2 linked regions of the Rattus norvegicus genome follow. The protein of the gene in region 2 purifies or fractionates together with the protein of the main gene of each other region. This does not show direct contact. Links are inferred from orthologs where the notes say so. Each region holds a gene or a part of one and is shown on either strand. Other genes may lie near its edges.

What was found.
Region 1: the proteins of Ptpn7 (region 2) and Mapk14 purify together in Homo sapiens (affinity purification with mass spectrometry; 3 studies listed by BioGRID and IntAct, with this or other methods). This does not show direct contact. The link is inferred for Rattus norvegicus from reciprocal best matches to the Homo sapiens genes PTPN7 and MAPK14.

Annotation. Positions count from the first base shown.
Region 1 is NC_086038.1:6,789,176-6,792,983, forward strand, and holds part of Mapk14 (mitogen-activated protein kinase 14), read left to right. Parts: intron 1-329; coding exon 330-441; intron 442-1,058; coding exon 1,059-1,088; intron 1,089-1,349; coding exon 1,350-1,397; intron 1,398-2,685; coding exon 2,686-2,800; intron 2,801-3,435; coding exon 3,436-3,507; intron 3,508-3,808. UniProt on the Homo sapiens protein: Serine/threonine kinase which acts as an essential component of the MAP kinase signal transduction pathway.
Region 2 is NC_086031.1:49,122,146-49,126,392, reverse strand, and holds the start of Ptpn7 (tyrosine-protein phosphatase non-receptor type 7), read right to left. Parts: upstream 2,836-4,247; 5' UTR 2,782-2,835; intron 2,366-2,781; exon of another isoform or gene 2,318-2,365; coding exon of another isoform or gene 2,232-2,317; intron 1,813-2,231; coding exon of another isoform or gene 1,761-1,812; coding exon 1,639-1,760; intron 1,122-1,638; coding exon 938-1,121; intron 711-937; coding exon 626-710; intron 1-625. UniProt on the Homo sapiens protein: Protein phosphatase that acts preferentially on tyrosine-phosphorylated MAPK1. Plays a role in the regulation of T and B-lymphocyte development and signal transduction.

The sequences.
Region 1 (3,808 bases), on a different chromosome or scaffold from region 2:
AGTCGAGGTCATCTTTGACTAAGCTTGAAGTGACCTGGGCTACATAAGACTTCTCCTAGGAAAGAGAAGACAGAGAAAGAAGGCACCTACAATGCACGTGTGCCTTTCTAATCTCTGTCTATCTATACGGCTTCCTTCTCACCTCCTTCTATACGGCTTCCTTCTCACCTCTGTATTTTCTTTACATAGCAAGGAGTAGTGGGTGTGAGTGTGGAGAGGTTAGAGTGCGTGTAGGAGGCTGCGCTCAGTTTAGGCTGGTGTGGTCCTTCAGCGGTCTTTCCTGGATCGGTATGTAACACCCCACTCCCCCCAACCCCTTCTGTTTCTAGGTACCTGGTGACCCATCTCATGGGGGCAGACCTGAACAACATCGTGAAGTGTCAGAAGCTTACCGATGACCACGTTCAGTTTCTTATCTACCAGATCCTGCGAGGGCTGAAGGTACAGGCAACGACTTTGTCACTTATCACTCTTTCTGTGTCATAAGAACTTAGGACAGACGGGTTTTCTTATGAGTTAACGATCAATCCACACTGCTGCTCTTGTATTTCCGAGGCCACGGTTTACTAGAAAGCAAATGCTATGTTGTCCTTCCCTTTGATCCTTTAGTCTGACTATCTAAGACATGGGGACTTTAGCCACACTGAAAAGTTAGTAGCATCTTGATACAGCCTGATGTCCAATCAGTGTGATACTGAGGCTTTAAAACATTCCTTTGGGCTGTGCGCTGCTTTTATATTCCTACTCAGGACTTGAGAGGCAGAACAAGAAAAACCACTGTGTGCAGCATAAGGAGTGCCAGCCACCAGGGCTGGGGTGGGGGGTGTCTCCAGAACATCCTTTGATGTTAGCACATCGGAACCCTTCCTGAGGTCAGAGGAAGAAAACAGGTTGACAGCTCCATCCCGTAGGTGGAGTGGGAATCCTAGTTTGTGTGACCCACTGTGATCCTGCACAGTGCTCGATGACTGAGGGGAACACTGCAGGTGTCTCGATGAAGTGATATACCAAAAAGCTGAAGATGGCTTTCACTCAACCAACTTTGTTCTTTTTTGCAGTATATACACTCGGCTGACATAATCCACAGGGTATGTATCGGACCTTAGGTGGGGATCGTTGTGGTAGTGTGGGTGGGGCTAAAAGAGTGGCCTCTAGTTCAGAACTCGGCCTTAACTGGGAACTGAAGGTGGGTACTGCAGCACTGCTCTCAGTGTAGACCGGCAAAGGAGCACTTGCTGTTTGCCTGCTCAAGGCTAATCTGTGTCAGACTGACTGCAGCTGGAGCTGCCTCTCTCTCTGGCGCTCTTCCACATGTGTGCATTGATGCACTTTCTCCGCCTGCTTTCCAGGACCTAAAGCCCAGCAACCTCGCTGTGAATGAAGACTGTGAGCTGAAGGTAAGGAAAGGAAGAGGAGGTGCACTGTTGGCTTCCTCGGTGTTCTCAGGATCCCGACCAGCCTCCCTTAGAGAAAGTGATGCATAAGCCATGGCTTGCTGTCAGGAGAGTCATTTGCCCGTAGGAATGTCACACTGAAACTTGAAGTGGGCTGAGTAGGCTGTTTGAGTAACTTTGGAAGCAGACGTCGGTGTCTTGTTTTCATTTTTAAAAGATAATTAAATCAGAAATATAACACGTTAATTGAAATAAAGGGATATTATAGTCTAAATGTCAGCTAACCATTCCTGCAACACTCATTATTAGATAGGTTTCTGAAAGGAAAAATTGCAGCTCTTTGAATGATCTAATCAGACCTGAGTAAATTAGCGATCTTTTAAAGTAAGTAGCGGGCTGGAGAGATGGCTCAGTGGTTAAGAGCACTGACTGTTCTTCCAGAGGTCCTGAGTTAAATCCCAGCAACCACATGGTGGCTCACAACCATCTGTAATCGGATCTGATGCCTCTTCTGTTGTGTCTGAAGATAGCGACAGTGTACTCACACACATAAAATAAATAAATAATTTTTTAAAAAGTAAGTAGCACTACACTTTTTTTAAATGAAATTTTTGAAATGTATGCAGGGGGCTGGAGAGATGGCTTGTTGTCCAGCACTGCATGGCGGTTCACAACCATCTGCATCTAGAGGATCTGATGCCCACTTTCTTTGTGTCTCTGTGGACACTGCACAGACTTGGAGCACAGATATACATGCAGGCAACACACCCATACACATAAAATTGAGAAGGAAAAAATGGACCTCTTCATAGGGTTTTAATATCCATGTGTTGTAACCACAGTTGTGACATATAACCTCCACAGCTTCAAAAAGTTTGAGTGTCCCTTCCTGGTGACCCATGGCCCTCACCCTTCACCCAGTGCAGGCAGCCACTGACCTGATTCTGACTGTGGGATTATCTCTTCTTCATACAAATGGAGCTGCAGAATCACAGTTTGTAGGCTGCCGTCCTGTTAGTCAGTGGGCTCTTGCCACCGTTGTGGTTAAGCCTATTGGTTTAAACAGGTTTACGTAGGCATAAACCTACATGAACGTCCACGTGGGGACCTGAAGTAAACTAGCGGGGGATGGCGTGCTTTGCTTGTGGCTTCATTTTAAAGTTTCCCGGACTGCTTACCGTGCGTTCTAAGTGAGGACTGGGCTGCACACTTCCTGAAAGTGTCCTGCTTTTCTTGTCCTGAAGTGGCAGGACTTGCTGCCCCCACGTCCGACTTCTCCTCTTGCCCTTAGATTCTGGATTTTGGGCTGGCTCGGCACACTGATGACGAAATGACCGGCTACGTGGCTACCCGGTGGTACAGAGCCCCCGAGATTATGCTGAATTGGATGCACTACAACCAGACAGGTACTGCTCCAGTCGCCTGCCCAGGCCTGGCCTGGATGGCTTAGCCTTACTTCTTAGGTCTTCACGTCACGCTCTGTGACACTGCCTTAGGGGAGTGGACGCTTAATCCTAACACTACATCTCCTGTTAGAGTGCACAATTTTAACCAGTAACAAAGTTTTGCCCCTTTATGAGTTGCTTGTTTCTCTTAATTATATAAATTCTGAGTTGCACGGCCTGTGGGTCCCTTCTTGGGTGACAGGGTTTTTTTTGTTTGTTTGGTTGGTTGGCTGGTTTTTTTTTTTTTTTTTTTTTTTTTAAGCTTTGTTTTATGTACATGAGCGTTCTATCTGCATGTACACCAACAGGCCAAAAGAAGGCACCAGATCCCATTACAGATGGTTGTGAGCCACCATGTGGTTGCTGGGAATTGAACTCAGGACCTCTGGAAGAGCAGTCAGTGCTCTAACTGCTGAGCCATCTCTCCAGCTGTGGGTGACAGTTTTAATAAGTTTATTTCTATAAAAAAAAAACGGTTGTCAACCTTTAAGTGTCTTAAATGCTGATTTGAATCTTTCACGCCTGGTTAGAGTCCAGTTTGTCCATGACTATGAATAGAAACTGTGTCTCTGCTTGTCCCCTCCCTACTATTCCAGTGGATATTTGGTCCGTGGGCTGCATCATGGCTGAGCTGTTGACCGGAAGAACGTTGTTTCCTGGTACAGACCGTATCCTTTAACACGTTTTGGCCCTGTTTCTCATCTGTGTGCTGTCTTAGATGTGTGCTTCCCTTACTCGTTTGTGGGGAAGACTCAGTTCTTTGCAGTTCAGGCATTGCTTTTGAGGTCTGTCCTCTTGTTGAGTGGCTCACCTTGTCAAGAAAAGGCTTTGGGGGTTGAAAAAACACCTGTCATTTTTTTGCAGCAAGTCTCTCTATTAATGAGTTTAGTCTGTCCCTGCAAATCCTTGGCGAGTGTGCATAGCCACCTGTACCTCAGAGGTATCTGGTTCCCACATTTGCTTATGCAC
Region 2 (4,247 bases):
CTAGGAAAAGTTGGAGGTGCTAGGCCCGGGTCTGTCTGTGTGAGTTCACACCACACGGGTGTGCAGCCACAGTAAGCTTCTGCAAACGCTATCTTGCAACTGGGCAACAGATGTCTATCTCCGAGGTGCCAGGGTGTGGTATTAGTATTTCTCTGTTGAAAGACAGTGTCTCAAGCATTGTTCTTCCTTGGCTTTGGAGAGGTGGTTTTTAATCAGTGCTTGTTTTGTTTTGTTTTGTCAAGGCTTCCTATAAACCAAGCTGGCCCAGAACTTGCTATGTAGCTGAAACTGGCCTGGAATTCCTGATCCTCTACTCCAACCTCTAAGTGTTAGAGTTATTATAGGCATATACCACTATGCCTGGCTTCAAGGTGTATAACTTTTTTAAAAAGAAGATTTATTATTTTTATTTATATGAACACACTGTAGCTGTCTTCAGACACACCAGAAGAGGGCATCGGATCCCATTACAGATGGTCGTGAGCCACCATGTGGTTGCTGGGAATTGAACTCAGGACCTCTGGAAGAGCAGTCAGTGCTCTTAACCCCTGAGCCATCTCTCCAGCCCCCAAGGTTCTTCACTCCCAGGGACACTGTCCCCCTCATCCTCCCTTGTGCTCCTTACTTGGCAAGATGGTCTTGTATCGGTCTTTGGAGGCATGGCCAGGGATATCCAGGTCTTCAGGGTTGACAAAGTTTGAGGGGATCTTCTGATGGTGGGGGGATAAATGAGTTAATCTCTGGTTCCCCTTTCCAGCCTCCTTTTCTCCCATTCCACCCTCTGCACACAGAGAGGAAGGGCCAAGATGGGGACAACCTTCTCTCCTGAGCCCCGGAATTCTTCCCCAAGGACCCCAAGGAGAAGAGAGGCCCAAGGAACCCAGCATGGTCTGATATGGAAGCGTAAAGTGATATGGAGAGGACCCCAAATTCTTACCAAGAATTCCTCTTCTAGCTGCTTGGGGCTGGGAGGCTGGTGCTGTAGAGTCCAGCGTGTAAGGGGGTGCCCGGCTGTGCGCAGGAAGTGCAGGGTGACTTCACGGGGTGTGTTCACTGAGCAGATGGGCTCGACAGTGCCCAGTGACCGCACATCCAGCATCAGAGCCACACTGGAGCCCCTTCTGCAAGCACAGCCAACCCAGTGAACATCCCGTAGCATTTGCTCTGCTTGCAAGCTCCTCATGGAGTTTGTCTGAGGTGGATTCACTTGGTCTTTCTCTTGACCTAGAGGCCCAGGGCACTCAAGGGTCAGGCCCCTACTACGTTCCCCTTTTCCCTTATCAGATAAGAGTAGAGCGGCCTGCAGCCCTCTTCCTCCTTCCTGCTGTCTCTCTCTCCTACTTGCAAGCCAGCACAGAGGCTCCAACACACGCCCAACTCCACAAAGGCCCCTAGATGTGTCCCAGAGATCACAATGTGAACCTTAGGGAGCAGACCCAGGGATGACGTGAAACTTAGTGCCTCAGACACACAAAGAATGGGCAAGCAACGTTCGAATGAGCATTCCTTAGGTCTGGTTTGGTTTGTTTTTGTTTTTCCAGGCCTTGTGGATTCTGTTGTTAGAACTGGAAAGGAAGGAAGGGAAGGGAAGGGAAGGCAACCCAGGCCTAGGAAGACCCTCTCTGTGAAAGATCTCACCTCTCCTGCAGCCGCACATGCTTCTTGGCTGGAGCTTTGGCGGGTGGAGGCTGAGTCATGTCTGCCCCCAAAGACAAGGTCGGCAGCTGTGCTCTGGAGCGCCCCTCACAGGCCTGGACCATGCTGGGGTAGGTTGCTGGGCCCAAGGGAGGCTCACTCAGCCATGAGGCCTGCCTGAAAGACAAGGTCCCACAGGCCTCACTAGCTAGAAGAAGGCTTCTAAGCGGAGGCCAGCCATCCCCTCAAGCAAGTGGCCTAACTTTTATCCCACAAGTACAGCAGCTCTTTGTTGGGACGCAGGACAGAGGACAATTTGAGGTTAGACTAGGAGGAAGATATAGAGAGAGCACAGGTATGGGGGAAGACAGGGAAGAATCCGGAAGAAGGAAGAGAGAGGATACCCAAGACCACAGGGCTCTAAGCTGGGGTCCACATGAGACCAGCAGCCTGCTAACCACAGAGAAGGAAGGCAGCTCTCTGAGTCTAGCCAGCTATAGACTTCTCTATAACGAGAAACTGAGGCCTCAAGTAGAATTGGAGCCAGTTGGGGATCCAGGCACGATGCACTTCTGGGAGGGTCTTCTAACAGTTACCAGTTCCGCTCCAAGATCAGTTGTGGCTCATGGGGTCTCTGTCCAGGGCAGTAGGCCAGGGGTGCTTCCTCCCTCCTCCTTCCCATCCCCCACTCTCCCGCCTCTGTAACCGTCACAGGAAATGGCCTCACTAAGCCCTAGAGCGCGACAGCGCATGGTGAGGCTACAGCTCGGGGTGCAGGGGAGAGGGACCATAGAGGTGATGAGAGCATCACCTTTGGGGCAGTCCCTGTCTCTCAGAGCTAGGTCGTGGGTGCTATGGTGGTGGGGTTAGAGCTGCTAACCCACAGGGACAGAGGTTTGGGAACAGTGTGGGCCGGTGCAGGTGTGGCTGGGACAGTACTTGCCCACAACAGGAAGGGGCCTTTAGCCTCTCCTCTGCTGGCACTCTGTGTGGCTTCTTTGCCCTCCAGCCACAGGGACACCAGATGTCACTTCTCATGCCCTGGCCAGGCATGGGAGCCCCAAACTCATGCTTCTTCACCCCATCTTTGGAGACCCCCTCCCACCCCAGGGTCCTGGGATGTCTGTACCCACTTAAAGTACTTACTGAAGCAGCTATGTCCCCAGGGCTGCCTCTTGCCAGCTGTCTGTCAGTCCGTCTATCTTTGAGGACTGAGAGGCTTCAGGAAGCCAGCTTCCTCCCTCCGCCCCTCCTGGCTTCCACCCACGCACACCACCCAGCTGCGGGCTGCCCCTCTGCGCCTGCTGCAAGCTGCCACCAGGGGTCGGGTGCATCCTCCCTGTGCCCTCCAAGAGCAAGCTGGTGCTGTCCTGCCATCCTCGTTGGGTGCTGAGGCTCTGGGAATGGACAAGGGATGAGGCCTTCCCCGACCACCTCAGGCCCCTTCCTCCGGATCCTAGTCGTGTGCTCACCCCCACCCTCAGGTCCTCTTTACTGAGAAGATAGCCATGGGGAACCCTCAGTTGTTCTGGTTGTGACCTTGGCTGGAGACTTATTTCCACTTCTCAGCATCTGTCCCTGTAAGCTCTTGTTGCTTCAAAGCCTGGGAATTCATGGCCAAACCCAGGCCCCCAAGGAGAGCAGATGTGTCACAGAGGTGCAGTAGGGGATAAAAAGAAGAGGCCAGGGCTAGGTAGGAAAGGTCCTCTCCTGGCCCCCAGTCCCTCAGCTTGCAGGCATAGGCTAGTTACCAGAGAATAAATAACAGAGGTAAACTGGAGAAGACTCTGGGTTTTGCTTCCATAGGAACCCCCCTGACTACCCCTCTGGGAGTGTCTTAGATCCCTGTAACTCCTCTGAAGACTTACAGATAGTCGAAGGCTGTGGCCCTCACATCAGAGACGTCTCACGTCCTCTTCACCACAGGGCCACTTGGATGCTTGGGGTGTGGGGAGGGAACGGTCTCCAAGTTCAAGACTCCACAGTCCCCCACCCCTGCCTGGCTTTGGTAGGCCCTTCACTGGCCCTCAGCCCAACTGGTTTGTGGTTCATGCTTGCTTGCAAGACTCCTTCACTCTGTAATGTTCCCCAAAAGCTTTCCTGGGCCCCAGCACTTGAATTCCACATCCTCTCTCCTCCTCCCACTTCTCTGATTCAACTGTCAAACGGTGACACTGGAAAAAGAACTGCTGTGCTGTAAGCACAGGGGTGGCACCTGAGAGGAGAGGGGAGGGGCTGCCCTTCTCCTGGCCCATGGGGAGGAGGGGAGGACCAGGGATGAGGCTTTGAAGTCAAGAAGGCTTGGGTCATTCTCGGCTGTAAGTCAAAGGGTAGCTCTCCCGAGCCTCTCATGGCTGGTTGATTCTGGCTCCCTCTTCACTGTAGCCTGTTCTCCTGTGAGGAATAGGTGGGATCTCCTGAGGAGGAAGCTCAGTGGAGCTGGGAAGTGGTTGGCCCTGGTGCCAAGATGAAGGGATAGAAGCAGGAGAACCCATGCACGCTTGTGCCCGGGGACTGGAGACTGGGCTCTGCCTTGACCTCTCCACGGGGGTGTCTGCGCTGGCAGATAGTGGAGGGAGTGGGAACAGGGTGGAAAGAGGGCCACCCACCCT